2 linked regions of the Elephas maximus indicus genome follow. The protein of the gene in region 1 purifies or fractionates together with the protein of each later gene. This does not show direct contact. Links are inferred from orthologs where the notes say so. Each region holds a gene or a part of one and is shown on either strand. Other genes may lie near its edges.

Evidence for each region.
Region 2: the proteins of LLGL2 (region 1) and PARD6B purify together in Homo sapiens (affinity purification with mass spectrometry; 7 studies listed by BioGRID and IntAct, counting the BioPlex papers as one, with this or other methods). This does not show direct contact. The link is inferred for Elephas maximus indicus from reciprocal best matches to the Homo sapiens genes LLGL2 and PARD6B.

Annotation. Positions count from the first base shown.
Region 1 is NC_064837.1:65,821,801-65,836,438, reverse strand, and holds the start of LLGL2 (LLGL scribble cell polarity complex component 2), read right to left. Parts: upstream 6,148-14,638; 5' UTR 5,814-6,147; intron 5,564-5,813; exon of another isoform or gene 5,454-5,563; intron 4,750-5,453; exon of another isoform or gene 4,651-4,749; intron 1-4,650. Other genes in the region: TSEN54 (tRNA-splicing endonuclease subunit Sen54), read right to left, coding at 6,928-7,078, 7,595-7,711, 8,011-8,071, 8,730-9,355, 9,553-9,654, 11,488-11,540, 12,836-12,934, 13,241-13,324 and 3 more. UniProt on the Homo sapiens protein: Part of a complex with GPSM2/LGN, PRKCI/aPKC and PARD6B/Par-6, which may ensure the correct organization and orientation of bipolar spindles for normal cell division.
Region 2 is NC_064843.1:18,915,821-18,931,145, forward strand, and holds the start of PARD6B (partitioning defective 6 homolog beta), read right to left. Parts: upstream 6,390-15,325; 5' UTR 6,016-6,389; coding exon 5,950-6,015; intron 827-5,949; coding exon 604-826; intron 1-603. UniProt on the Homo sapiens protein: Adapter protein involved in asymmetrical cell division and cell polarization processes. Probably involved in formation of epithelial tight junctions.

The sequences.
Region 1 (14,638 bases):
CTGAGAACTTTCTATGTGCTGCGCTTTACTTTAAGCACTTCACATGCTTCATCTTATTTAATTCTTATGACAATTACTTATGAAATAAATGATTCAGAGAGACATCAGGCCAGCAGTTAGGAAGCGGCCACATCCCAATTTGAACCCCAATCTGTTCAGTTCGGGTCTCTCTCCCAGGACAAAGGGGCTAGCTGAGATTAGGTTGAGGGGGAGTTACTGCTTAAGGGGCACTGAGCTTCTGTTAAGGGTGGTGGGAAAATCTGGAAATGGATAGTGGTGCTGGCTGCACAATATGATGAATGATGTCCAGGTAAGAAAGGTTGAAATGCTAAAAGTTGTGTTATTACATGTCTACCACAGTGAAATATATATATACATATATGTGTGTATACGTATACATATATACACACACATATATATATACATATATATGTATATACCTATGCACACACAAAAACAAAACAAACAGTAGGTTGATGGGACGGACCTTTTGAAGTTAGCAGCCAGAACAAACTTCACCCGCCCAGGGAGGGCCTGGTGATCAGTCTCCACCTCTACCACAGCCCCACCCCACAACCCTGGGAGAGTCACTCAAGGCTCCTAAATGGTTTCTGTCCTTGCTGCCACTTCTGGGCCCATGAGGATGGGGTGGGGAAGTTGGAGTGAAGCCCCAGCTCCCCATGAATCTTCACTTCCCCACTCCCATTCTGGGGTCCCAGGTCCCTTCTGCAATACAACACGAATGGCTTTCCAGGGAAGTGACCAATTGGGTGAGGCTAACTGTGAGGAAAAGCAAAGCCAATCTTGGGAAAAAAGGCCAACTTGCCTGAGGTTGGGGTGGGTGGGCCCTCCTACCTGCCCCCAGACTTGAACAGCTGTCCCAAGGAGCTTCTAGAAAATGTCATCTTCAGGGGGGACAGATGTGCCTACCTAGTTCATGGTTGTGTCCCCAGAGCTCCGTGACCCTGAAACACAGGAAACACTCAAATACTATTTAAAGAGCCCCCTCACCTCCTTCAAGTCTTTGCTCAAAGGTCACCTTCTGCATGAGGCCCACCCTGGCTACACTTTGCAAAATTACAATCTGCCCCCTACCACCCACACCGTTGCCGTCGAGTCGATTCCGACTCATAGCCACCCTATAGGACAGGGTTTCTAAGGAGCAGCTGGTGGATTCGAACTGCTGACCTTTCAGTAGCCTTAGGTCTGAACCATTACGCCACCAGGGTTTCCTACCATGGGAGTTTCAAATTCTCTGCTCTAGATCTCCTTACTCTCTATAGCTCACAATGCTTTTAACACATTATTTTTTATTTAGGCTCACACTTCCCACTCACTTTAGAATGTAAGTTCCATGAGGGCAAAGATGTTGGCTCTGTTTACAGGTTATCCCATGCCTTGCACACAAGAAGCACAAATAGATACTTATTGAAATGAACAGCTAGGATTAATAACTAGACAAGGTCTTCCGTCAGAAGCCACTGGCCGCAAAGAGCACTGGGCTGGGGTTCCACACAGTCCCGCGGGGTACTTGCCCACTCTGTTCTCAAAGACTCTGGACAAGCCAAAGGCCACTGGACGCACGCTGGGGATACCTGCACCCTCGTGGACCCTGCCTCACTTAGACTGAGGCTCCAGGACATGTAACTCTTTGGCAAGGTGAATCCCAAAATAATACTATTGACCAGAGTCACCGTCCCGTACCCAGATGTCCCTCTTGCCAGACCCTGGGACAGTGGGTCAGGAGACTCAGAGAAGACTCTGGTCTCTGCTGAATTCTTGAAGGGTAGACTCAGGTGCCTGGGAGCTTCCCTGACCCCACACCCCGTGAGCCTCTCCTAGCTCAAGAATTCACTGTGGTTCCTGGGAAGGGGTAGGAGTGGGGTGACTCCTGCTTCCTCTCAGAGGCAAGGCTACCCCAAAGGGAGCTGGCCAAGGCCCTGGCATTGGGCTATGGGGAGTGTCTCCAGGGGAAGGGCAAGCAGTGCTGGTGGCCCCATCGGGGAAAGCCCATCTCCTGGCCTCACCCCGTTTCTTCCCTGTGACCTACTCCTGGGCAGAGGAAAACCAAGTCCCCAAGCAGACCCGGCTTGCCTCGACTCAGAAGGAGCCCTGATAACTGTATCACCCGAATGAGATAAGAAGATAACTGGGAGCTGAGTACTCAGGGTAAGTGTGTCCAGATGGCCAGTGCTGCTTAAAGCGGCCAACCCAGTAGCAGAGGCCATGGGTCCCCAACCCAGGTGTCTCAAACAGCTACCTCTGGCACATCTAGAAAGCCCAGGAAGGCTGAATAATCCCCCAGGAAACCAAGCCTCCCCACACGGCTCTTGGACACTTCTGCCAGGGATGCTCAGTGTCCCCAGTGGGGCAGGCAGGGGTCACAATGAGGGCAGAGGCTCCCAACATTCCAGCTCCATGCACCACTTAACAGTGATGGGAGGGTTCTGGGAGCAGGAAGTCCCCCCTCTCAGATGAGGACACCCCCTCCCTAAACGAGGTTGAAAGCAGGCACTACGGAGTTCCCAAAAATCTCCTTAATGACGATGGAGCGGCACAGGGGTTTGTTGCCACCCAGCACCCCCCCCCCCAAAAAAAAGACAGGGTACAGACAGTGCACACAGCCAACTGGAGATTCTGCACACCCTCCTCCCTACCTCCAGCCTCAGCAAGAAGGGCCCAGCCAGGGTCCACAGGTCAGAAGCCCAAGGAGCAGAAGTGGCAAGGGCCGTGGGGACATATATGACATTAAGAGAGGACACTGCCATCTACCTCTGCCCCCCACCCCCCAGGAACAATGTCCTGATTTAAAAAGCTCGAGCTCCAGAGGCTTTCAAAGATCACAAAATTATAACCTCTTTGCTGATCCCCGGATGGAGAAGCCAAATTCCCTCACAACACACCAGGCAACTCCAAAAAGCACAGGAGCTGCCCAAAGGCTTGCAGGGTGAAGTTCAGCCTTACTGGCTATGTGCTGGGCCACACGTGTTCCTGATATGTTTCACCCTCTCGTCAACATGTGTACAAACAGAGCTCGCTGAGGCAGACACAGTAAGTGACTGAGCCAAGGGCACACAGCAAGACACCAGCCAGGCCACGACTCAAAACTCCCCTGGTATTTGGCAAGATGCTAAAAAACTTAATGAACGGTATGTTTGAGGGAGAATTATTTTCCCTTATTTTATACTTTCATATAATGCTTGACTGTTCCTGCCATGCACTTCTATTACCTTTTTGATTTTTTTAAATAAACAGGGACCATCTAGTATTATGAGCCTTTTCTCATGGTGTAAATGGTTAAATGCTAGACTAATAACTGAAAGGTTGGCGGTTCAAATCTACCCAGAGGCACCTCAGAAGAAAGGCCTGGTGATCTACTTTCCAAAGGTTACAAGTCATTGAAATCCCTACAAAGCAAAGCTCTGCTCTGGAATACAAGGAGTCACCATAAATTGGTTTTGTTTGTGTGTGTTAATGGGCTGATGAAAATGTTCTGGAACCAGACAGCGATGACGGCTGATTGTAGTAAATGCCACTGAATAGTATACTTTAAAATAATAAATTTTGTTATGTACATTTTATCACAGCTTTTAAAAGCTACTATTTCTTTAAAAACACAACTAAGCCAAACAATAGTTCAGCTTAAGTAGTAAAAAATGCCTGCCTTGAGCATTGTGCTCTTTCAAGCAAGATCTATCTATATGGGATCAAACTGACAACAGCAACTCAGGGGAGCAGTGAGTTTATGTTCGTAGCGGAGGAACAACTCAGAAAAGGAGGGTGAGAATGGTTGCACAACTCAAAGAATGTAATCAGTGTCACTGAATTGTACACATGGAAACTGTTGAATTGATGTATAAAACACCAAAAAACCAAACCCAGTGCCGTGGAGTCGATTCCGACTCATAGCAGCCCTACAGTACAGAGAACTTCCCCACAGAGTTTCCAAGGAGTGCCTGGCAGATTTGAACTGCCGACCCTTTGGTTAGCAGCCGTAGCACTTAACCACTATGCCACTAGGGTTTCCGAATTAATATACATAATACATAAAAAACAAACAAACAAAAACAGAAGAAACAAGTGTTGGTTACTTAAAGAAACACAACTATTAATTGTCACCAAATGAGGGCAGCTTTCTCCTATGCTCCATTGTCTCAGGGAGGACTGGGGGCCCAGGGTGGCCTCCCACAGACTGGCTCAACCAAAACTCGGTGAAGAGGGCAGGGCTCCGAGAGCTGAGTTGGGTCCTGGCTGCCACAGGCAGGTCACTTAAGCAAACCAAACCTGAGTCCCACATGCACTAAATAAAGGAAGCGAAAACATCTCTCCAAGGTCCCTTCCGGAGCTGAGCCCAGCCCACACGCATCTAGGATCTTTCTCAAAGGCCACTTTCGACCTTGGTTCCCCCTGGGCTGGGCCAAGCACTTCTCCAGCGTTGCTCCTGGGCTCTTCCCACTCGGGTTTCCTTGTCCTCCTGACACGCCCATTCCCTCCCTGCTCTGAATCCCCTCCACAGCACGATTGGATCTTGAGTTGCAAACTCCTGCAGACGGTCCCGAGAGCCTGGTCGCAGAAGCCCTGCATCAGCACATGCATCCCCACGGGAGGGGACGCTGAATCTAAGCCCTGCCCGCCTCACCCAAAGCTCACCTGTCTCAGGTGAGGGCCTCAGGAGGCCATACCGCGGCTCCCCTGGTTACGCTCAGCTCTCTCCACAGCCAAGGCCCAATCTGTCCACGAACCGTCCAGCTGGACCAAACCAAGAACAAACTTTGCACGCTTTCTTTGGCAAGGCAGAATTTTCCACCCCTCGCCAAGTCCGAATGTCCCACAGAGCAATAATCCCCGCCCCGGCTGGCGTGGAAAACAGACCGGGTCTCCGCCTAAAGGTGTCCAAAACCGCCTCCGGCGGAGAAAGGCCCTGAGACCGAAGTCCCTCCGGCGGGCTTCCTGCGACCGGGGATTAGGAGGCACAAAGGCCTGGGAGGGAACGGGCCCAGATGGCAGGGGCTAAGCCGCCGAGGTTACGCGCTCCGGCCGCCGCTCGGGGACAGAGGGCCAACCGGAGACGCGCCTCGCCGACCTCCCGGTCAGGAGTCTTGCACTTGGGGTCAGAGACCCGGGGGCCCCGTCTCCGCTGCAGTGTCCCCGCACCCAGCCGGGCCGGGCACCTGCTTCTCTGCTCCCCAAAGCCAACACTATTGTGCAAACCCGAAACCCAGATTCCGTCATCGAGGGAGGATTAGGCAGAGAGAAGTTCCCGGCGGCACTTTCTACAGGTGTCTTTCTCCCAAAGGAGCCAGCGCTAGGGCGCGGCGGTCGGACCTGGGTGCAGTCCTCCCCGCCCGGCCTGGGAAGCCCGGGGGTCTCGGCCCTCGCCGGCCTCCCCGCCCCTCTGGCGGGCGCCCCAAGGGGGCGGGCCCGGCCAGGTGGGTCCCGGTTCCGCGTCTCACCTGGAACCCCGCGCCAGCCCCGCCCGAGGCCTCTGCGTCCTCGGCGCCCGCCGCCGGCCCCGCTCGCTCCGCGCGCCGGCCCACGGACTGCTGGCGGCCTCTCCTTCCTGCTCACCTCCGGCGGCGGGCAGGGCGGAGCCGCCGTATTTACATAAAGAGCCAGCCGCCTGCCCGCGGAGCCCGGCCCCGCCCCCGCCCCGCCCCGCCCCGCCCCTACGATGACCGGGCGAGGGTGCAGCCGGGGCGCCGCGGGGCAGGGCCAGGTTCGGGCCAATCGCCGGCCCCAAGGGCCCGGGGCGGGGCTAGGCTCGTGAATATGCACGATACCCGCTGGCCCGCCCCGGTCTCACCTGCGCGTACCTGCGTCGCGGGACTAGGCGCCGCACCCCGTGTCCCGCCGCCTCCAGAGGAGGAAATAGTTCCCGGAACGCGCGGAGACACCGGGGGCACCTCCCGGCCCGACTCCAGAGGGCAGCCGTCCCTCCAACAGCCCGGCCCAACTGCCGAGGGAGGGCCCAGCCCGATCAGAGCCGCGTCCCGAGGACGCGGGACAGGTTTCGGGATCCCGGAGCGGTTATGGGGACGTTGCTGCGAGGCACCTCCCCTCGGACAGGGCCCTAAGAACCCCCTCCACTCTGTCGTAGTGGCGGCGGGGTCCGCGACACCGAGGGGCAGCGGCTGGAGTTTTTAGCACCAGCGAGGGAGGGCTTGGAGTGCAGTGGAGTGGCGAGGGGCGGGAACGGAAGGGACGCGGAAGCCCGGCCCGAGGCCTAGGGAGCGAGAAGGGGGCGCGTCTTCTGCGCGCCTGCAGGCGGCCCCTCGGAGCGTCTAGGGCTCCAACCTCACCGACAAGGCCACCCTTCTACCCTGACCCGGCTAAGCCCCGGACTCCTTCCTCGAACTACCCTTCGGAAACCCAAGCCAGCTAGAGGTCTGTGACTTCCCATCCCCGAAAAGGGCGGGACGCGTTCCGGCCTCCCGCTGGCTTCCCTCACTCTTTAGGTCCCGCACCAGAGCAAGCTCTTCGTGTGTTTGTGTTAGCCCCGCGGGCAACAGCGTGTGGGGGAGGGGAGCACTGCGGGGCCTGGACTGAGTTGCCTCATCCAATATATCCAGCCACAGCAGGAAGAGTTAACTTTTTAATGGCTTTGGCTTTATCGCATGAAGCAGGCACCCTCTGGGTTAAAGGCACGGAGTCCTCTCTTCTGCCTCACCTTGCTGGGTCTCTGAAATCTAGTCCTGAGTCCCAAGGAGGTCACTGCAAAGCAGGAACCTCCGGCTTGGAGCGTGGAAGCGCTGCAGTGGCCAGGCAGAGGGGCAAGGCTTCGCTCTCCTGCAAGCATCACACACCAGGGCCAGGGCACAGACTGGCTCCTGTGGCTCCAGGCACAGGATGCTGGAACAGTCCCTGAGAGCAGACAGTCCAGGTCTGAAGCACAGGCCCCAGCCTTTCCCTGAGAGAGGAGCTGCATGGTCACTGCTCCAGGTCCCTGGGCAGTGTGAAGTCCCGGAAGCTGTAGAAGGAGATGTCACCATGATCCACCAGGGCAAAGATGAGGGGGACATCCCCACTCTGGTAGGACAACCGCTTAAGGGTGGTGAGGCCTGGGACTGGCTCGTCAAATCTGCAGGGAGAAGGATTAGACTGAGACTTTGGCACAGCCCACCTGTGAGCTCTGAGACCCCAGCCGGGGTTGGGGGTACAAGAATGCTGGCCCCTGGCCTGCCTTCTCTGCAAGCAGCGTGGCTCTGATAAGTGCTCCAAAAAAGGAACCGGAGCCCTGGTTGGGGCTCTGATAAGCGCTCCAAAAAGGAACCGGAGCCCTGGTTGGGGAGGGGGCTAAGAAGAGGGAGGCTCTCACCACTCTTAGCCTGTAAATCCCTCTGCTTCTCATTCCTTCTGCTGGGGGAGCCTGGGACTAAAGTGACTCAGGAGAGAGCCTACCCCTAAATCCCAAGAGGAGCTAAGAATTGGCAAACCTGGGTTCCAACAGCACTGACAGGCTGTGTGGCCTCACACGGAGGCTGTCTAACCTCTCTGGGCTCAGGTTCCTCTCGGACTGGCCAGGGGTGGGAGTAAAGAGAAGGTGCACATGGCTTCACAAGGAACCGGGAGTGGTACACACTTGCTGGTCTCGTACCCACTAATGCACATCCGAGCGTAGGGCTTGCCAGGGTTATTCTTTCGGAAAGTGGCCACAGCGCTGGCCTGGTAAACGTCGAAGCTGATCTCCAAGCCCCCCGACTTCTCCAGCAGCCTGAGGACAGAGTAAGAAACCTTCAGAAAACAGGGACTCTCCTGCCCACCTTTCCATCTCACCTTTTCCCTCCACTGGTTCCAGAAGGCAGCCTGGTCCAGGGGAGGTATGAGGGGTAGCGGGGAGGTGAGCTGCCCTACCTCAGAACCCTTGGCATAAATCCACCCCATCTGTGGTTCCTCCCTTCCTGCTAGACACACGCGAACATCAGATGCTGCTCAGCTCAGAGCGAGGCAGGTGGGTACGGGGCCCTGGAATGAGTCCCAACTGATGCCCAACTTTGCTGTATGCAAACTCACCGGGCCCCTCCGTCAGCCAGGTGTGTCGTCTGCAGCACCGAGATATGCTGTAGGACCGCGGCTACAAGGACAGTGAAAACAAAGGTTTGGAGATCAGTCAACCATTTATGGAATCTCTCAACACTTCTGAATCTGCCAGCTAGTTTAGGATTGCCAGGTTTAAAAAAAAAAAAAAAAAAAAAAGTTTAGCAAATAAAAATACAAGATGTCTTTATTTTACCTGGCAGCCCTAATCTGGTCCCTTAAAATCTTCTACGTCCCATAAGGATTTTAAGGCGTTCTAAATCCGTTAATGCAGTCAGCCAGGGCTAGTCTTGCCCTGAGGGTTCCCTATACTTGACAACAAGAGCAGAAAGTAAGCCTTCGATGTGGCCAAGATGGCGCCTCCCGCTTCCAATCTGATGAGACTGGGAGGCCCAGCTGGTTGGTGGCGAAGCCATCACATTCATCTTGTATCTAGTTTATGACTTTAAGAGCGTGGTCGTAGTTTTCATTCCTCCTCGCCTCTCCTCAGTCGCCAACCAACCATCTCTAATGTCCCCATTTGAGCCCTCTGCTGCTGCCCTGGAGTAGACAGTCCTTGTGGGTTCCACTCCACCGGGCAGTCTCTTCCCCCATCCTCCTTAGCCTGGCTCAGTCCTGGTCAACCCACGCCCCTTTCAAAGTCTTGTGACTCCTCCGCTACCAGTGCTGGCAGGGCTGTGGCACAGTGGGGGTACCTGGGGAGTCTGCCTGGCCAGGGCTCAGCAAGGGGGTGACAGGCTGGTCCCACAGGTGTGGAGGGCAGCTCTGGGTCTTCTGCAGGTGTCGCCTCTGCAGCAGTGCCTTGTACTCCTGCCAGCTGGAACAGCGCTGCACCTCAGGATCCATGCTGACATCTTCCCGGAAGTGCCGGGCCCCTGCCTGTTGCTCCCGTCGGGAGAGCTTCTCCTTCCGTTGGTTCAGCTTCTGGCACCAGGACTCGGCGTCTATCTCCCGCCCAGAGATGTTGGCTGGAAGCAGCTCTGGGGCTGGGGCAAGCAGGAGGGTGTGACGGCTGTCTGAAGCCATGTTGGGGAAGGAGATCTGCTCAAAGTTCCACCGTGGCTTACAAACCTCCATGGCTCCATTCTCTACTTTGCCACTCTCTTGGCTGCATTCCACCCTGTCCCTGGCCAGGCCAGGCCAGGGCTCCAAGGACCCTAGAAGCTCAGGGTCCTTTCTAGGGCTTGATTCATGGGGTTTTTCCTCTGGGCATGGGCTGTTGTAGCCGCAGGGAGATGGGCTTGAGGCTGCCTGGCTCTCAGGTGTCCCATTCACCTCCTGCAGGGGGCTCTCCAGGGTCCTGGGCTTCTTGGGAAGGGACCTGAGGGATGCGGGGAGGAAAGGCAGCTGCTGTGCTGATGTGCACACATGCCAGTGTGTGCTGGGAGGGACAGGTGCCCCACTGTCTACCCCGAGCCACCGTAGGAGCTGCCGAAGCTTCAAACATCAGCACTCCCCCAACAGCTCAGCACCCCCACCACTCACTGGGGGCTGGGGGAGCGGCAGGGGGAGCATTACTGAGAGCTGGAGCTCCTTCTCCTCCTCCTGCAATTCCGATCCTCCAGGTGCTGGGCGCTGCCATCCAGGTTCAGCTGCCTCTCGTAAGGGGACAGGACAGAGCTGTGGGGAGAGGATGGGGCGGGTCACAGATCCACCTTCTCTGCCTGGGCAGGGGATGGGGCTGAGAGGACAAGTCATGGGGCCATAGTGGGGGGCGGGGCCTAAAGCCACAGAGCCTGGGCAGACCTGCACTCAGGACATATGGGAGCAGCCACAGGGCCTAGCCATGCCACTCTGCCTGGGCCTCTGGGCCTCACCAGTGCCACCTTTGAACAGAGGGTTCCCTGGAATTGGGGTCCCTGCTATGAGTCAGAATTGACTTGACGGTAATGAGTTTGCAGAGCCAGCAAGAAATGATCACTGTGACAAAAACCAAGAGAAACTAGAAAACTTGAAAGATACAGGAAAATAAAGATGAAAATAAAAATCACAGATAACCACTGTTAACGTTGTGTCTCACACACACACACTCCATGTGTTTTTCTCTCTCCATGTTTTTTCTAATACAAATGACATTGTTCTAGCATTTTGTTATTCTTAGTTGCCATCAAGTGGATTCTGACTCACGGTGAACCCGTGTGTGCGGAGCAGAACCGCTCCAAGGCTGCGACCTTGCAGAAGCAGATGACCAGGCCTGTCTTCCAAGGAGCCTCTGGGTGGGTTCAAACCACCAACCTTTCAGCCAGTTGTCGAGTACTTACCGGTTTGTGTCATATAAACACGGCCCCTCACCGCCACAGCATTCTTCTCTGGCGTGGGTTGTTCTTTTTTTTTGTTGTTGTTCTAAGGCTGTACTGCCCAATATGCCACAAGTGGCTATGGTGGAACAGTGGTTAAGAGCTTGGCTGCTAACCAAAAGGTCGGCAGTTTGAATCCACCAGCCGCTCCTTAGAAACCCCATGGAGCAGTTCTACTCAGTCCTATAGGGTCGCTACAAAAACTCGCTGAGTTGAAATTAACTCAAAGGTAACAAGTTTGGCTTGGCTTATGATGAAGTTAAACATTTAGTTCTGTGGATGCATAAGGCACACACATTGGACGGCGCAGGTAGAGACCATTTTCATCATTGCAGAAAGTTTTATCAGGCAGGGCTGCTCTGAAGGATCAACTCTAATGTAGGTGACTATGTCTCCACTGTTGGACTCCTGGGTTGTTTCTAAGTTCACTAGCCTTGCGAAGTGATGCTGTGCTGTGCTAGCTCCCCAGTAAACGCAAGCTCCATGGGGGCAGAGATTTTGCTCTGTGCTGTGTCCTCAGCTCCTAGCACAAGGCCTGATACACGGTAAGTACTCAGTAAACATTTGACGAATGAATGGATGAACGTTCTCACCATCAGTCTCTGCACACATCACGATTACTTCCTTAGGGTATACTCTCCTTTCAGAAATCAAAGGACGTGCCTGTTGCACAGCTTTTGTCACAGACTGTGAAACTGCAAAGCCTGTATCACTTGCCGCTCCAAGTCTGAGGGGCTCTGTGGCTCCTAGCAGTACTAGATTACTAAGGGGGTCATCTGCAGAGGCCACACGAGAAAAGACCATCTAGCCTAATATAAGAAATGTGAAATCCTTCTAAACTCCCCACTCAGTCCTTCCTTCACTCAACAAATCTGCGGCACACCTACTAAGTGCTGGGCACTGCTCAGGGCCACATCTCCAAGCTTGCCATGCCTGGCAGGTGCTCGTCATCACCAGTGGAGTGAGCCAGCTGAGGTGGGTCCTAATTTGATAAATTGAAATAACTCGGATTCTTCCAGCAGAGGTCAACCCATGTCCAGGGAAGGTTCCAGAGCTCCAGGCAAGGATTCCAGGTAGAGGCCACTTTCCCACCTTGGGCTAGGCAGCTGGGTCCCAGGGTTAGATTGAATGGAAGGGAAAAGGGATGGGGATTTACCTTGGCTGGAATCGTCGAACCACATAGCCCAGTCTCTTCAGGTGGCTGAAGACCTCAAAAGAAAGAAAAGATTTAGGTCAAATGTCTCCTCTTGAAAACACCAAATAGTTGCTCGAGACAGAAGCCACTTACTTCTCAGGCCCCTCCCCTGTCCCTCCTGCACACGTGCAGATTCCAAACCCTGGTAGTGGTTGGGCCACAGTCCATTATAAACACACTTCCCAAAGTTGGATCTCCACCTCTGAATTCCTGTCCTCCTCACTTATCTTACTTTGGGAAGAAAGGACTTTTAGTAGTTTGACTTAAAAGCTGATAACAATAGACCAAAAAAAGAACCATGCCCCAGAATAACTTGATATCAAAGCTGACAAAAATGAAGCTCCTGACTATGACTTAGACAAGATGACAGAAAGTGGTGGACATTCTTCCCACCTCCAGACATGGGTGGGGTGGGAGTGGTCTCTGAAGAGCCACATGTTTGTCCTCGTGTCTGTGTAACCATGTTAAAGGGACATATCCAGGGATGTCCCTCATCTTGCTTGAACTCTACAGCCTTTGACATAGCGACCCCTTCCTCCTCAAAAGACCTTCTTTTGGCTTTTATGCCACCACCTCTCCTGGTTTTTCCTCTGTTGCCGAACACTCCTCAGTCTGCTTCTGGTCCATCAGCCTTCTTCCAGCCTCCTCATGTTGGAGAGCTCAAGGTCTGAAACCCAGCTCTCTACACTTGCCATACTCTCATACAGTCTCGTGGCTTTAAATAGCATCCATGTGCTCATGAAGTCCACATTTTATGTCTCTTGCCTTGACCTCCCCTGCCCTTCAGGCTTGTGTATCCAATTGCCTACTTGACCCCATGTCCCCCTCCCTGTGTACACTGTGCCAGCCGCCATGTCTATGTTCCACACCACCTGCCCCCACCCCAGCTTGCCTTGTCTCAGAGCCTTTGCACTTGCTGTTTCCTCTGCCCAGAGTACTCTGTCCCCAAATCTTTGCATAGCTTGCTCCTTCTCAACAAGTCTCTCTCTAGACGTTAGCCCTTTAGTGATACCTTTCTGGCTTCCAAGTCTAAATCAGCATCTTCCACTCTCTATCACTGTCCCCCTCTGCTTCATTTTCTATCTAGCACTCAACTCTCTCTGAGGTGAATAATTCATTTGTCTGTTTACTTATTATCAAATTGGCGCCACTAGAATGTAAGCACAATGAGAGCAGAATGCTTGTTTGTCTTGGGGCCCCAGCATGTAGCGCTGTGCCTTGCACTTTGTAGTTACTTGTAAATACTTGCATATATATTCACTGACTTGACAGATGAGTGGCTTTTGTCTCTGCAGAGGGTGGCAGATACCTGGTACTGCAGGAAAGTCACAGTGTCCTCAGTCAGGAGCAGCTGGTAGGCTTCCTGGATGGACAACGGCAGGTCTTGGTAGAAGAGCTGGATGGAGCCCTGGAAGAGGGGGACAATAGCTCTGGCTGTGAGCCATCTTCTGCACTGGCACAGCCAAATGGGGTAGCTTCCTGGCTCTGCCATGCCTTCTCTCCCCAACATCACTACAAAAATACGGCCAACCCAGAAAAGGGGTCTGTGGCACTCATTTGGTCTGGAACCCCTGTTCTCTATATGGCACTCTGTCTCCTGCTCCTGAAGCCAGGTTACAAACTCCTTGGAAACTCAGTTTTGTATACTTTTCCCAACGTGTCCTTTGGGTTCCTTGGTCCCAAATCCTTCCCCGACCTCCCGGGCCCCACTCACACACTCCAGCAGATACAAGGCCTCTTCGGGGTGAAGCCGTTGCCGGCCCTGCTGTGAGAAGCCCATGGTCTGCCAGAATTTACCCTGCATGAGGCCCAGAGAAAGCGTCTGTCACAGAAGAGCCAGGAGGGCAGAGAAGGCGGGTCCCCTGCCCCATCCCCACCGCTCACCGCAGGAGACTGCAACTCCACGAAGCCTTCCTCTGGCCTCCAGTCTGCGGCCACTAAGCTGCCCCTGGCAAGGCGTGGGGAGGGGTCGTCTCAGCCCACCCGAGAGTCGCAGAGCCCGCCAGCGCGCGCCCACCCCGCCCCGGCCGCCCGACCGCTCACAGGCGCTCCACGCGCTCCTCGGCCAGCAGCTGCCAGAGCTCCTCGCGGCATCGGCGCAGCCGCTCGGCCTGGGCCTCCGAGCCGTCGGGAAGGAAGTCCTTGGGGCCATGAGAGCGCTGGGGCAGCTTCTGGGGCCGCGCGCGGGCGGCGAGCAGCTCCCGGGCGCTGGGGAGGAGGGACGTGGGTCAGCGCCACGCGGCCCGGCCGCCCGCCCCGGCCGCCCGTTCTCCTCCCCGCGTTCCCCCGGCGACCCCAGGCCCCCCACCCCTGCCCCGGCCGCTCGCACCTGAGCACACGCCCAGCAGGAACATCCACATCTGCTGCCTCGGCGTCGGGCTCCATGGGGCCGCCATCTGCGGTTGTGCGCGCGCACCGCCCATGCCCCGCCCACCCCCGGAGCTCCGCGCGGCCCTAGCGCCGGCTTCTGCAGCGTCGGTTCCGGGAGTCCCACATCCCCCACCCGGCTTCTGCCTTCGGGGTTATTCTGAGTCTTCGCGCCGGCTTCGCACGTGTGCCTCGAGTCCCGGAGCCGAGCGTTTGCAGGTGGCGCGACGGTTAAGCGCTCGGACGCTAGCCGAAAAGTTGGCGGTTTGAACACGCCACCGGCTTCGTGGGAGAAAGACCTGGCGATCAGCTCCTGTAAAGATTAAAATATGAAACCACACCTGTTGCCTTGGAGTCGATTCCGACTCAAAACGACCCTATAAGACGGAGTAGAATTGTCCCGGAGGATTTATGGAGGAAACACTGGTGGCGTAGTGGTTACGTGCTACGGCTGCTAACCTAAAGGGTCAGCAGTTCGAATCCACCAGGTGCTCCTTGGAAACTCTGTGGGGCAGTTCTCTGTCCAATAGGGTCGCTATGAGTCAGAATCGACTTGACGGCACTGGGTTTGGTTTTTGGAATCTTTGGGGTTTTTTTTTTTTTTTTTTAATGGAAGCCAACTGCTACATCTTTCTGCCCTAGAGCAGCTGATGAGTTCGAATCGCTGCCCCCTTGGTTAGCAGCGAAGTATTTAACCACTGCGCCACCAGAACGCCTTCCGTACAGATTAAACCCAAAACCAAAC
Region 2 (15,325 bases), on another chromosome or scaffold:
TCCAGATAATTAAACTAATAATTTTACATTTTCCTATGGAAAATATCCTAAAAGGTGAAAGAAAAATTTTACTGGGTGCTGACTACACGCCAGGCACTGCACTTGGCTTATTTAATTTTCACAGTAATCCTCTATGGTGTTACAGTCTTTCTATAGATACAGTCCGTGAGACAGAGGAAGATTAAATAACTTTCTTCCACATATTTATTAAGTAGTAAATATAGGATTTAGAAGTTAGCGGCCACCAAAAAAGCTGGAATGTCTCTCTGCCTCCAAAGCCATATGATTTCTACCATTTTTCTGAATGGGCAATAATCCATTCAATCAAATGAAGATTCAATAAATTCCTAATTTATATAAAGAACCTAAGAGGTTAAAAGTAGTAATTAAAAACACAAATTTTCTAAAGTACACTTAGTGAAACGTAAAGATATTAACTGAACCAACAATGACAAATGTTTTAACCCACTTGTTAGTTAACACAGCAAGAAGATACACACAAAATGTTTATTCAGTAAGTTTGTGGCAAAGTCTGTGTATCCTACCAACAGGAAACAAACTACCTCTATTTCTAAAATAATTTTTATTAACAGTGGTACTTACCCTTCTTTTGAATAAAAATCCTAAGCAGTGGGTTGGCTGTTGAAACAGCTTTGTGGTAATTATCATCGTTATTTATAGGTAGTAAGTCCCCATGGATGTCTGCATAGCCTACTAAAACGTCAACATTGGGTATCTTATGAACATGTTGCAGTAATCCATAGAACTCCTCAAATTTTCCAGGTTTTGATCTTTCCAGTGAAAAACGACGAAATTCAGCTCCAAACTATAAATACAACAAACATGTAAAGTTCAAAAAACAAACATAAGTAACAGAAAATGCCGTAAAAATATTAACAAACAGTATTCCCCTTAAAGCAACAGTCTATTGTCAGAGAAACTTCATTAGCAGGAGATAAACCTGCATAAGAAAGGCGCAGGAAGGTACCCTCTCACTGCTGCAGCTCTGAGGGGCGTTCCCTTCAAGAGAAGCAGTTCAACTCAATCCCTGGGGTACCTGCCTCTCTGGGGACGTTCCAGCACAGTGACTCAGCTCAAACCCTGTCTGCAGACCACACCCTGACAGCAGTACTCTCCTCACAAAGGCCACAGGGTACCAGAGATGTGCCCAAGTCCTTACTTTGAGCATTAACAAAAAAGCATCTAAGTTTCCTCCCCCATAAAAGGAACTACGATTTCACAGGATGTGGCATGGATTAATAGCAAAATATACAAAAAGGGTTTTGAGCTCCTTGGCATAAGGTACTATTCTATCGGAGGTAGGTACATAAAAAATAGGCCTAGAGCTAAGAAGCATCTTCCCTATGTTAAAGCCAAAAGAAGCTTCACTAATATATCAAATATATGCCCTACAATTATCCAATTATAGAAACAAATGTTTATGTAGCTGGCACAAAGCTAGGCCCTAGAGATTTCAAGGCTCAAGCTTGCTCCAGAAACTCACCAATTAGTGGGTAAAGAGAATAATTACACCATAGAGGTATTAAGGGATCACACAAATGGGGAGGATGGCAACCTCCATCATACCCAATGTTTCTCTTCATAGTTCTGACACTCAGATTGGCTTCCCCACTCCAGAATCACACCACTTGTCTCCAACTGCCAAATCACTAACGTCGTGCTTATTCGACACACAAAGGACTGGCTTCATCCAGTCCATAATAAGCACGATTTATAACTCTCTATGGGACTACCATGGCATTTCCTCAAATGTGGAAACCTAAGAAAGGCTCATCAGCCTTCCTCAAAAAGTTGTCCCAGTCACTTAAATTCTGGAAATGCTACACAGTCACCGTCTCAAGAATGGCTGTGCAAACCAGCATATTAAAGGCTGTTAACTCCCAGAGTTGATTTTTTAAAAAAAATTTAAGCAAATGCTTCCCAAATGTGTCTGACCACTGTACTCGTTTTCCCTCTAAGTATCTATTGTTAGTAAGAAACTCTAATGTACCCCTGAGACAGGGCCTTAAGCACCATGTGGGGAAAGTCCCTACCAGAATAATTTCAGCAGTTTACCAACATGTCAATTCATTTTCCCAAGGGCCCTCCAGGATATCTGGATCCACTGCTTTTGCTGGTCATCCTCCTTGCTTATACCCAAACTACCCGCTCATTTTAAAGTAAAATTCAAACACACTAAAACCACCTCTTCCCTCTAATAAATTTAAAAGTTTCCAAAACACGTTGCTGAAACATAAACACTGACATTTATCAAGAAAATAAGGCGACTCATACCTAAAGCTCTCAAAAAGTTTAGTCACACCTTCACATTTCAAAATAAACAAACACTCAGGGAACACCCTTCATATCAGAGTTAGTCTTCTGATGTTATCAAAAGTCACGGTTTCTCCGCATCTTCTTTACTCTGGCATCACAACGTGGAATCCCTACTGCTTTCTGACTCACCCACAGGGTTTATCATTTCCTCTGGTACATGAATGGGAATGTTGTTGTTCTTAGTTGCCTTATGTGGATTCTGACTCATGGGGACCCCATGTGTGCACAACAGAACTCTGCTCCATAGGGTTTTCAAGGCCGTGACCTTTCAGAAGCAGATCTCTAGGCCTTCCTTCTCAGGTGCCTCTGGGTGGGTTTGAACCACAATCTTTTGGTTAACAGTCTAGCACTTAACCATCTGTACCACCCAGAGACTATAAATGGGAATGACATTTAGTAATTGAACATTTTAGGGCTTCGATGTTTTTGCAAAAGCTCTGCATGAAAATTCTTTGCTCTACGTTCTTCTCTTGCTAAAATGGTATGATTAAAAACAATGGGAAACTGTACAGCTTCACAGTAGTTGTGCCTTTTTGCAAATGTTGGCAGGAAAAAAACAACAGAAATCGTTATGCTTCTTGCAGCAAAACAAAAGGTTAAGAGAACTTTTTACTACATGAAGTAAATACTAGGAGTTAAAATTCAGACCCAATCAGCAACTATTCACAAAGGAATTATTCACTGTGTGCACCATTTATTTACAACTGTTTTTTAGCCCCATCTATGGGTTGGGTGGGAGTTTGTCCGGCAACAAATTTTTATGAGTTTGTTCTAGCAGCCCTGGTGGTATAGTGGCTAAGAGTTCCGCTGCTAACCAAAAGATCAGCAGTTCAAATCCGCCTGCAGGTCCTTGGAAATCCTATGGGGCAGTTCCACCTTGTCCTAAAGGGTCACTGTAAGTTGAACTGTCCTGGCCATCCTGAATGTGTAAGGATTCTCCTTCCCCAGCATCAGATGGCATTCCAGAAATGCAAACCTAATGTTAATATTCTGTTTGCCCAGGAGTCACAATGAAAAAGAGGAAGACCCTCAAGAAGATGGACTGACACAGTGGCTGCAACAATTGCAAGGATCGTGCAGGACTGGGCAGTGTTTCTTTAGTTCTGTCGTACACAAGGTTGCTGACTTGATGGCACCTAACAACAACATAATTAACAGTTAGGAAGTTTTATGGTTCAAACACTGTTCCAAGGTTGAAGGACATCATTGTGTTTGTTAAAAACTTTCCTAACTCTGGAGAAGCAATTAGGAAGATAAATCAGTTACCAAAGGAAAAAAATCACATGGCAGCACTATCACCAATCTCACCCTAGTGATTCTGCGCCGTCCGTTATTTTCTTATCTGCACCATTTTCTCTCTCCATGAGCGAAGATAATAAAGTTGAAGCTACTGTTTTCAATGCTGAAGAAAAAAATCCTAAAGCGTGGGTCTGCACACTACCAAGTTTTGTTTACCAGCTTAGTGATCAGTTTGTAAAAAGCTGAGATAGCACTAAAGCAGTGTAAAAGGAAATACTGTTTCGAAAATATGTCCAGATGACTAAATCTCTGATGACTAAGATGACAACTGCTTCATTTAACACATATTTAAAACATAAGGTGTCAGAGACATACTACATGTCCCTGTGTGCCATGCCGAGTTACCAGCAGCCAGAATAACAGTGGGACCACTTCATTCAGTGCCGGCTCTCAGGATGCCTTGATTCTGTTAAAGAGATCCGGCTCACTAAAGACGTGTACTATGGCAGGTCCGACACACAACATATAGTTTGGCCACAGTATATGAAAGATTCACAAATGAAGAGCAAAAAGCCTGAAGTTCCAGTTCCCAAGTGTTCAAAGTTTCCCAGTACCAGAAATAACTTTCATTGTAATTATCAGTGCACCTCGACTGAGCCCTACTATCAAATCCCTACTCATTTTTTCCTAAGATAAAAAACTAAAGACTCACCACCAAGATTAAGACCACAAATTGAATTTTAAGATTAGGCAGTATCACAAGTGCTTTTCTTTTCTTAACCTCAACTCCCACAAACCCAAACTACATTTATAACAAATCTGGGACGAGAAAGCCCAACCAATGGGCAGGGACACTACCACCACCAGACTGCTAGAGGAAAAGCTCTGCAGATTTTGAGTCATCTTAACCCTTTAGTTCAAGCAAGCCACTTCAATGTGCTACAACGGTTCCAAGGAGGACACAAGGAAGAACCTATTTCTTAAATTGCTTATAATTACAGAACGGTTCCTTAAACTAGTGCCTATCCTGATAGGTGAGTTCTTAAAGTCGCAAATAAAGTTTAAAAATGAACACATTTACATATTCTTGATGTGGTTCTCAGTTACAGCAACTTACAGAACTGTGTTTATCAGCCCTAGACAATAAAAACTATTCTACCCACAGGCTCCTGGAAACTTTCCTTAATTCCACTGCACTTCGCTCAAATGGCTTCTTGATTGTGCATTCTAACTAGTTTTACATTCAACGTGCTTCGTTATTTTTGAAGGTGATATGCTTTTATTTTTCTATTCTGTGTTCTGCTCTTCCCAACTGTATTCTAAATGTGCTCAGGGCCTAGCGAGTGAACTTTTTGTATTCTGCAGTGCCTGAAAGTGATTCTCTGAAACAGCTTTAATCAAGGCTTTACGGTTTTATCACAAAACCAGAGCTTGGGAAAGTCATAACCCTTCTGAGCCTCAGTCTTCTCATCTGTAAAACGAGAATGGGGCTAGATGATCTAAACTCCTTTCGGCTCTTCAATTCATGGAATGCTTGCTGAAAATGTTCCCGCAGCTGCCGATCACCTTCAAATTCCAGTTCAAAACCCCCTTTGGAAAGCATTCCTTAACTAATCCCTACAGACTGTCCTGCTCGCCCGGCCTTGCAATTTAGGAATTCAGTTGATACGGAGGTAATTATCCCCAGATTGGCATACCGTTCGTAGGTCAAGGGTGAAAGCACTTGATGTGAAAAGGTAGAACGACGGAATGAAAAGAGCATCCAGACTCAAACTGTAAAGTACCACTCAAACGTAAGGTGATAGTGCAAATTTTACAGATTAAATGCATACCAAAGTTAGTGCTAGAAAAATTCCTTGCAGGAAACATAGCTCACTTGAAAAGGGCTCTTTAGTACACTGGGCTCTTTCCTTTGCCACCGGATGATCCCCTGAGCCACGAAGGGGTAACTTTATATGACCATGGGATATTCCAAATAGCTTCTACTCGTCAACCCAGTACGCAGAATTTCCCCCAAACCTTTCCTCCCACACTGTACTCAAATGCCTCCGCATCCTCGGGTACAGATTGGGCCTCACTCTCATTCTGGAACAGGACTGAGACTAAGTGCTCCACTGGGTCGTCCTATCAGGGCCAGGAGCAGATACAAGCCCTCGCCCGTCCCCTTCTCAGCGAGTTTATTATCCGCCACCGCCTGTCTCCAAGTCCCACTACCCCGCACCCCGCCGTCCCAGGCACCGGGCAGCTCCCCAGGCGGTCCCTGCCGGGCCCCTCGCCTCCCCCGAGCCGCGTTCGCCGCCCTCCGCCCCCGGCTCTGGCCTCCCCGTGTCCCGGCCCCGGCCCCGCCGCTTCACCCTGCCGGGCCCCGCGCACCTTGCTCTTCACCTCCATGGTGCCCAGGTAGCCGCTGCCCGCCCCGTGCCGGTGGCTGCGGTTCATGCTGAGCGCCGAGCCCGCGGCGGCCTCCTCCGGCCGGGCCACCGCACAGGAGAGCGGGGAGCGAGTGCGCGGCGGGCGGGCTGGGGGGGCGGCTGTGGCCCGGAGCCTCCTCACTGGCACCTGCACAGGGGGCGGCGGCGGCTCCCGTCTTCGCCCTGAGCCCCGCTCTGCTGGCTCCTCACGCGGCGGGATCGAGGGTCGGACTGGCGGCGCGGAGGGCGGGGACGCGGCTCCCTCCCTCGGGCCTCGGCGGCGGCCGCGACGATGCAGGAGGAGGAGGAGGGGGCGGAGCAGAGGCGACGAGCGCCGCAGCCTCGCTCCCGGCAGCCTCCGCCGCGAGCCCGCGGGCGCGTCCCCGAGCCCAGTGCGCGCGCTCACCTGCAGCCTCCGAAAGGCTCTGCAGACCGCGCTCCGCCCACACCCAATGGGAAGCGCGCACCTGCGCCCGCGGCGCCAACCAATCGATACACGCCTCGCTCAGCTCGTGGGCGGGCCGCCTACTCGAAAATTCCGCCCACCGAGGCGTAATTGGTCCAGCGCTGCGAAGGAGGGGCGGGATCACCTGGAGCCGGGGGCCTCCCCTCTGGACTCAGCAGGAGAGCCGGGGGGCGCATGCGCAGGCCACGGAGTTTCCGCCCAGGGCAGGGAGGGTGCGAGAAGGCCGGCCGGAAGCGCGAGCGCACCTGGAGAAGGGCGACGGTGGGGGGCCTCCTGCGCACGCGCGGGTGCGCCGGAGCGCGCCTGGTTACTGAGGGCCCGCTGGGAGCTCGCGCCGCGGGACGCGCGCCGACTCCCCCGACTCGGGTGGTCGACCACGCTGAGGCTCCGCGGGGCCGCTAGCTTCCCGCCGGGCCTGCCCCGCCGCCAGTTTGGGTTGTCGCAGCTTCAAATCGACGCTCGGCCTCCTGTTTGCGTCTTTTAGGCGTCCAGATGCAACTCTTGGTTGCAAAAGCCAAGTTTTCCCGCCTCTGCAGGAGAGACTGGTGGTGAACCTCAGGGCCCTCGGGGCTGGGTCTTGTCGAACAGAGTTTCTGTGCCCTGCACCATTTTAAGTGCGTCAGGTCCCAGCACTGAATTGGCGCCGGGAAGGGAAGGAAGGTGGGCTCAAGTCCTAGGTGCTCTCTTCGGGCCCAGCCTCCGAGGGCTTTTCCTAGGCCGACCCTTCTGCGCTTTTTTTCGGTTTGTTTCTCTTTTTAACCTCTGAAGGCTCCCTTTTCCCACCTCAAGCCATTTCTTGGCCATTTTGCTGTTTCCCCAAATGACAGCGTCTGGCTTGTGTGTGTTTCCCGAGCAACGGAGCTGTGTCCCTGAGTAACGAAAGGCCGTATCCTTTTCTCTAAATGCACCAGAGCTGGGATTTTCCCAGGCAGACCCTGTTTAGCATTAGCCAGGCCGGGAAGGTGGGACCCTCTGAAAATTATGGCTGGAGAAGACCCCCTCCCCAAGTCTCCCCCTCACGAAGTTTTCCCCCTACGCAAGGGCTACCAAGGCCCGCCGTAGGATTGCTGCTTCTCGAAGGGCTGTTGAACTTCTTGTGAGCTAGAGTAGGGAACAGCCATGCCGCGACTTGTAGTCACAGCCCAATCTGGTGACAGACACAATGTGTGGTGTGTGTTCCTGAGACTGACAAATGTTAACCATGGAAGGCCAGGAAGAAAGATCAGGCAGGAACTCACAATTCAGTCCTTCTGGAACAGGGATTTCTAACCTGAGGTCAAGAAGAGGGTCTTGGGGAGCTGGCCTGGTTAGCATGCTTCATTCCAGCTGAGTCCTGGGGGCCTAACACATCTGCTCCTACCGCCCTATACCTCTTCTTCCCAGAGTTTGTGACAGTTTCAGCTTGCCTTTTTTTTTTTTTTAGATGCCTTTGAGTTTTTTAATGAGTAATCTTCTCCACCCTAAAATGAAAGCTCCCTAAAGGCAGGAACCACATCTGCTTTTCTCACTGTTGAGGGTATAGCACAATGCCTGACTCTAGCAGGTACTCAGATACATCTCTGCTGGGTGCTGGGGCTGAAGAAGTGTGGTTTCTGTATGCTAACTGCCCCACCTTGGTTTACAGGGTGAGAAAGAAGCCCGTCTTTCTTCATGGGAGGGTGGAGGTTCCAGTTGCGCAAAGTTTGTACAGAACTTAACGTTTTCATGGGCATTTCTGGGTGGAGGTACAGATGGAAAGGATACCATCCCAAGCTGAATAATAATAAGGCAGCCTTTTCACCCCCTTGTTCAAAAGTACCTACTATGTTACTCATATCTGTCCTATAGGGTCGCTATGAGTCGGAATCGGATGGCAGTGGGTTTTTTCATGTGATTCAAGCTGAGCTGGAAATAAAGATGTGATGTCACCATGGGGAAGCCTCAGGGCCTAAACTGTAACTCTCTTAACTGGACTAGTACAGCAGTTGTCAAACTTTTTGATCTCAAGACCCTTTATACACTTAAAAATTATGGAGGACCCCAAAATATTTTGTGTGTGTTACGTCTATCAATATTTGTTTTATTAGGATTAAAACAAGTATTTAAAACACAGGAATACAGAAGCACACAGTCCTGTAGTCATCAGAGTGTTGATGCACATGTCTTGTCCCTTCTGGAAAGCTCCATTGTGTGCTTGTGAGTCAATGGGGGATGACGAGAAGGGCAAATGACATCTTACAATTATGGAAATAATTTTGACCTTGTGAATCCCCAGAGAGATCTCAGGGACTTCCAAGGGTCCCTAGACCACACTTTGAGAACCACGGACTAGAAGCTACGTCACCACCTTGAGGGCTCTTCATTCACAGCATTCACCCTTCTCTCTCTATTTGGCAGGGCCTCGCCCTAAGAGCGGGGGGCCCTAGCTCTGTGTGGGCGATTGTTGGGTGGTTGAGTTTTATTACTGTTATCAGTACTGATTTATCAGGCCGTTTAAAAAGGAAGTCAGTAGATGCCAACGCACCTGCGTGGGCTCTGCATTCTTGGAGGTGTCGTCATGCCTCTCTCCCCTCCCCCGGGTGTGGTATCCCTCCTTACTTGGACTTTCCTTTCTAGAAGGAAGGGCCAGGCCAGAGTTTGCTCTGAGGTCTGCGTCACAAGTGCGCTTGGGTTGTGTAAAGGAGGAATGTGGAAAATAGTTTGAATTTGATAAAGGTGCTGTGAAGGAGGGGAGCCCGTTCATTCCTAGAGCTGGTATGTCCACAAGTTCATTCACAGGGCCTGAATTCCAGCCTTTCTTGGGAAACCCAGAGAAACAGCATAGAGAAGGGTTTATATTCCTGTTTACTATGGTTTGAGACTGACCCTAATCTTATTTCTCTCCATCATCCCTCCCCACCCCCAAATCCTCAAGCTAAAGCTGATCAAGACCTGTGTGTGGAATGAAAAGCTAGTCCCATGCCTGGGAGATTAATACTCAGTGGGTTAGGGAGATAAGTAAGGTGAGTGTGTGATGTTATGGACTGTAAATTATAGGTTCACAAAGTAGTTAGCTGGGAGTGGGCTATCAGAAATCACCTCACCCACATACCGTGAGGCTTCCCTGGCCCATCTCCACCCTCTGAATGAAGTTAGAGCGTTTTTACCCCTCTGCTTTATCTTCCCTTTAAATGCTTTCTGTCTTTAAGTTCTACAAATATCCTGTTGTGTTCATTTGAAACCTACACTGTGAAGTCTCAAGAGTTGTAATTTTCCACGATTAGTTTTAGTAATTCACATCTTACATAATACCTTTTTCATTCCTTCCTCTTCCAACGCTTAGAATTAAGGAGAGAGAGAGAGAGAGATGGCGAAAAGTCATATATCCTGTTGGTGAAATTTTTTTCAAGGAATTCCTCTTGCCAGCTCTTTTTCTCCTTGATTGCTCAAGCTCATTTTGATGGAGCTAGTTAATAATTCTTTGAGAAAGAGTTGAAGTGTATACTTAGAATCTCATACTACTCACCAAAGCATTTTAAGCCCTTTAGCAGAGGTGGAATTAAATCACATGATCTGTTTTCTCGTCAATACCTCATAATACTTTACTGCTTTGTGTGTGGGGCCTGGCTGGTGGTGCTCACAGCCACGGAAACTAATGAATTATCTCCTGATTGAAGAAGCTAAATGCACTTTCGGGTAAACCCTATCTTTATGAGAGGCAGTAGGTGCCGGGCTCTGTGCGTGTGTCTTACCCTTGACTTGGTTCAGCCACAGGTTTGCTTTCTGACCTTTTCCCTCCCTGAGACTCAATTTCTCTGTCTGTAAAGTACAGGCACTGGATGAGATCATCTCCATAAACCCTTCCAGCTCTTAACATTCTATGGTACCCCAGGGATAATGGAGATTGATCGTTATTTCAACATTACCAGGGATGAACTGAAATGAAAAGAGTAATCTTTCTGTCAAGGTCAACATGCAGGCTGCAGTATTCAACCAAAATATCCCAGTTCCTACAAGGTATTGATAAAGATGATGATAGCTAACATTTATGAGGGACTCACCAAGTGCCAGGAACTGGGCTAAGTACTTTTCCATGGATTATCTCATTTAATTTTCAGTAGTATGAAGGTTGTTTATATTTGGAGGCAGGCAGATTAATTTTTTTTTTTTAAGCTGATAAATGTTAACTTGAGGTCTTGCTCTGCTCCTTGCTGGCTGGGTGACCTTGACTTTGTTCCCTTAACTGCTCAGAGCCTCATATTCCTCCTCTATAATTTTTTTTTTTTTTATAAAACAAGATAATGCCTACCTCATTGGTTTGTTGTGGTGATCAGATGAGAAACTATACACAAAACTGCTCTGCAAGCCATAAAGTGAGGTACAAATATTAGTGGTTATTATTTGGCAAATAATGTTGCCTACTATTTTAGGCTGGGTTCTCTAGAGAAGCAAAATCAGTGAAGTGTGTATATATATATATATATATATAGAAAGAGAGAGAGGGAGATTTATCTCAAGGAAATGGCGCACACAGTCATAGAGGCTGGCAAGTCCCAAGTCTGTGGGTCAGTTGTCAGGCTGGAGGCTTCTCCTGACTCACATAGCTACAGGGGCTGAAGAACTCAAGATTGGCAGCTAAGATGGCAGGCTGCTGGCTTGTGGGCTATGGTGGCTGTTGAGTCCAAGATCAGTAGGTAAGATGGCAGGCTGCTGGCTCACAGGCTGTGGAGGCTGAAGAATCCAAGATGTGTCAGGCAATTCTGCAGGTCTATGGCTCAAGTCCCCAGAACCGGAGGTCAAATGATGACAAGTTGGATACAGGATCCAGAGTGAGCAAAAGCCAGTGAGCTTTGCCACATCATCTATATATATTGGATATAGGCCACACCCCTGATGAAACTCCCCGTACAAATGATTGGCTGATCACATCCTGGAGGTGATTACATCATATCACAAAATGGAGGATAACTACATCATGAAATAATTGCCAAACCACTGAGAATCATGGCCCAGCAAGTTGACCCACAACCTTAACTATCACGCCTACCAAAGCTTCTGAAAAACTTCCTTGAAATAAAATGGAAATTTGTAATAAACCATTCTTACTGTTTTCACGCAGGGCAGCCTTTTAATGGACATCTTCTCTTAGGCTGAAAAGCAGCCTAGAGTGGTCGTTAAGAGCATGACTCAGCCAAATGCCTACATTCAAGTCCTGCCTCTTCCATTTACTAGCAGTGTGCACTTGAGCAGGTTCTTGACTTCTCTGAACCTCCATTTCCTCATCTGTCAAATAAAGATGATAAGATAATTAATTGTCTTCATTCACATAAAAGGACTTGAATAGGACCCAAAAAGAGTAAGGATTCCATAAATGTTATTTGTTATTGTCATTATTGCTGTTTAATTCTTTTTATTATCCTCATTACCCAACATAATGTTCTTCTTGTTAGTTGCCCTCAAGCCGACTCTGACTCATGACAGCCTCACACACAACAGAAGGAAACACTGCCTGGTCCTGTGCCATCATCATGATCATTAGTATGCTCAAGTCCATTGATGTGACCACTGTGTATTTTGAGTGTCTTTAACCTAGGGGGCTCATCTTCCAGCACTACGATGTGTCAGACAATATGCTGTTGTGATTCATATTGTTTTCACTCGCTAATTTTCAGAAGTAGATCGTCAGGTCTTTCTTCCTAGTCTGTCTTAGTCTGGAAGCTCTGTCAAAACCTGTCCATCGTGGGTGACCCTACTGGTATTTGAAATACCGGTGACATAGCTTCCAGCTTCATAGCAACATGCAAGTCACTATAGTATGATAAACTGACAGATGGTGGTGGGCTGCCATGATAAAAAAAAAATAGTAGTCATTAATTTATCAAGTATTTATGAAGCCCCAGCTGTGTATATAACACCATGCTTAGTGTAGAGGTAAAGTTAAAAAAAAGAACAGAGATATGATTCCTACCAGTCAGCACTTCATGTTCCACATACAGATAGATTCAGCAAACATTCCTTGAGTGCCTACCAAGGATCAGACAGGGAGGTACAAATGTGAATAGAACAGAATTCTTGCCTTCAAGGAACTCAGTCTAGCTGAGAAGTCAGACCATGAAGAGAGAACTACCCCATGTCCTCTAGAGGTGGTGGGCCCAGCAACCTAAGGGAGTGGATGTTAGAATTGACCATGGTGAGGAGGGGTGGGTTTCACATCCTAGCTCTACCACCATCCCACTGTAGAACTCTGGGCATGTGTCTTCACCTCTAAAGCCCACCTTTCTCAGGGACAAAATGAATATGGTAATAATACTTACCTTCTTTGACTTGGAGCCCTGGTGGCACAGTGGTTAAGAGCTCAGCTGTTAACCAAAAGGTCGGCAGTTCAAATCCACCAGCTGCTCCTTGGAAATCCTATGGGGCAGTTCTAATCTGTCCTATAAGGTCACTATGAGTCAGAGCTGACTCAATGGCAACGGCTTTTCTTTGACTTAGTAAGTACTTACTGAGTGCCTATTATGTGCCAGGCACTACTCTCGATGTTAAGATACAGTAGTGACAAAGACATGACCAAAACCTGTGTCCCTGTGGAGCTTACACTCTAGTGGGCAGAGACAGAATACAGAAATAAATTATTCAAATATATGTGTTAGATGGTGATAAGAGCTTTGGAGAAAAAGGAAGCAAGAGAGGGCCCAGGAGGCCTAGTAGTGAGGTGGAGAGGGAGGAAGAAAATGTTCAAATACGGTGGCAGGGACGGCTTTCTGGAAAGTTGGAGATGGGAAAGTGGTCCATGTGTTCTCTGGGGCCGGAGGACCCTCCAGGCTGGGCCTCAGGATGGGTGTGGGGAATGAATTCTATAAAGCCTGCTCTGTGCCTGGCACACAGCGAGGGCCCAGAAGACACCAGCTGCTATTTTAAGCTATTTCTCGGTGCTAAGGCCAGGGTATGAAAGAGAGGGGTGGGAGCCAGAAGATAGTGATTAAGTCAGCCCCAGGGGGTCTGGAGTGTCTCATGGGTGAAGTGACTTTGGTTGGCGCTAGGTCTGAAGAATGAGTAGGAGTTTGCTAGAGGCAGTTGGGGCGGGGGAAAAGGCATTCCAGGGAGCTCCACATGGAGGAGTGGGGGTGGGGAGAAAGCCCTGTGTGGTCAGAGATTGGGTGGGGCATGGGTGTGCAATGGGGGCTCCCTCTGGAGATGAGGGCTAGAAAAGTAGGTGGGAACCTGCTCAGTTAGGGCCTCAAAGGCTGTGTGGTGCTGGAACTCTCCTGAAGGCTTAGAGCTGGGGAATGAAGAGATCAGATTTGAGTTTTAATAATATATACTGAGGTGGTCGCCACTGGGGGCAGCAAATTAGTGAATCTTTCAAGGAAGGGTGTGATTAAATGTCAAAATGAGTGGTGTGTCCAATAGGATTTAGGGAGGAGGGAGGGCATCCATTCATTCAATTATTCACTCATCCATTCAGCAAATATTTATTGCACCCCAACTACGTGCCAGGTGCATGCTAGATGCTGGTGAGTACACTGACTTTGCACAGACAGTAGAAAGTGCATCAGGTGAGGGTGGGGGGCGGTGTGTGTCATAAACGTGATTGGTTTCATGGCCCAGGCTGGCAACTGAAAGAGGGATGTGGCAGGGTGGGCGTTGCAGAGGACAGGGAGATCCTGCCCCGTGTAAGGACTCACCACCAGCCTGTGCGGCTGTGGCTGTGTGACTGCAGGCCCCATACTGGGCAGGTCTTCTGATTCCCTAAGAGAGGCTGGACAGTTTTATGAGACTTCCTTATTTTTAAATGTTGGCAACTTGTCAGACAGGGTGCAGTGGGTCGAAAATAAATGGAGTGTGTGTATGTGTGTATCTGTGTGAGTGTATATGTGTGTGAATGAGCCCTGGTGGCACAGTGGTTAAGTACTCAGCTGCTAACTGAAAAGTCTTCGGTTCGAACCCACCAGCCGCTCCACTGGAGAAAGATACAACACTCTGCTTCTGTAAAGATTTACAGCCTTGGAAACCCAATGGGGCAGTTTTACTCTATCCTATAGGGTTGCTTTGAGTCAGCATCAACTTGATGGCGATGTGTTTGTTTTGTGTGTGTATCTGCTTAGGATGTTGTTATAGACTGAATTATGGCCCCCCAAAATATGTGTTGTAGATCCTAACCTCTATGCCCGTGGTTATAAACCCATTTGGGAATGTGTTGTCTTTGTTATGTTAACAAGGCAGGATTAGTGTAGACTGTATCTTGAGTCAGTCTCTTTCGAGATATAAAAGAGAGTAAACAATCTGGTAGGTTGAGATGGGGAAAGAGAGATGCCCAGCCACATGGTAATCACCCAGGAGCAGAAGCGCAGAAGAGACAAGGACCCCCCTCCAGGGCTGACAGAGAGAGGAAAGCCTTTGCCTGGAGCTGGCGCCCTGAATTCGGAGTTCTAGCCTCCTAAAATATGAGAAAATAAATTTGTTTGTTAAAGGCACTGATTTATGGTATTTCTGTTATAGCAGCACTGGATGGGAAACGCTGGTGACGTAGTAGTTAAGAGCTACGGCTGCTAACCAAAAGGTTGGCAGTTTGAATCCACCAGGTGCTCCTTGAAAACCCTAAGGGGCAATTCTACTCTGTCCTAGAGGTCATTATGAGTCGAAATCGACTCACCACGTACAGGTGCTGTTCTAAGGGTTTTACACGTACAATCTCTTCATCGCATTTCTTATATAAAGTGATCAATTCATCCCCGTTTACAACCTTGAAAGTCCCGCATCCTCAGAAACCCCTCAGTCTTTGGCAAACTCGATTTTATCTTCACAAAAACTTATGGACATAGGTACCATTATCCCCCCTACTTTATAGATAAGGAAACTGAGGCACAGAGAAGTTGATAACTTGTCCAGGGTTGCACAGATAAGTGGCAGACCT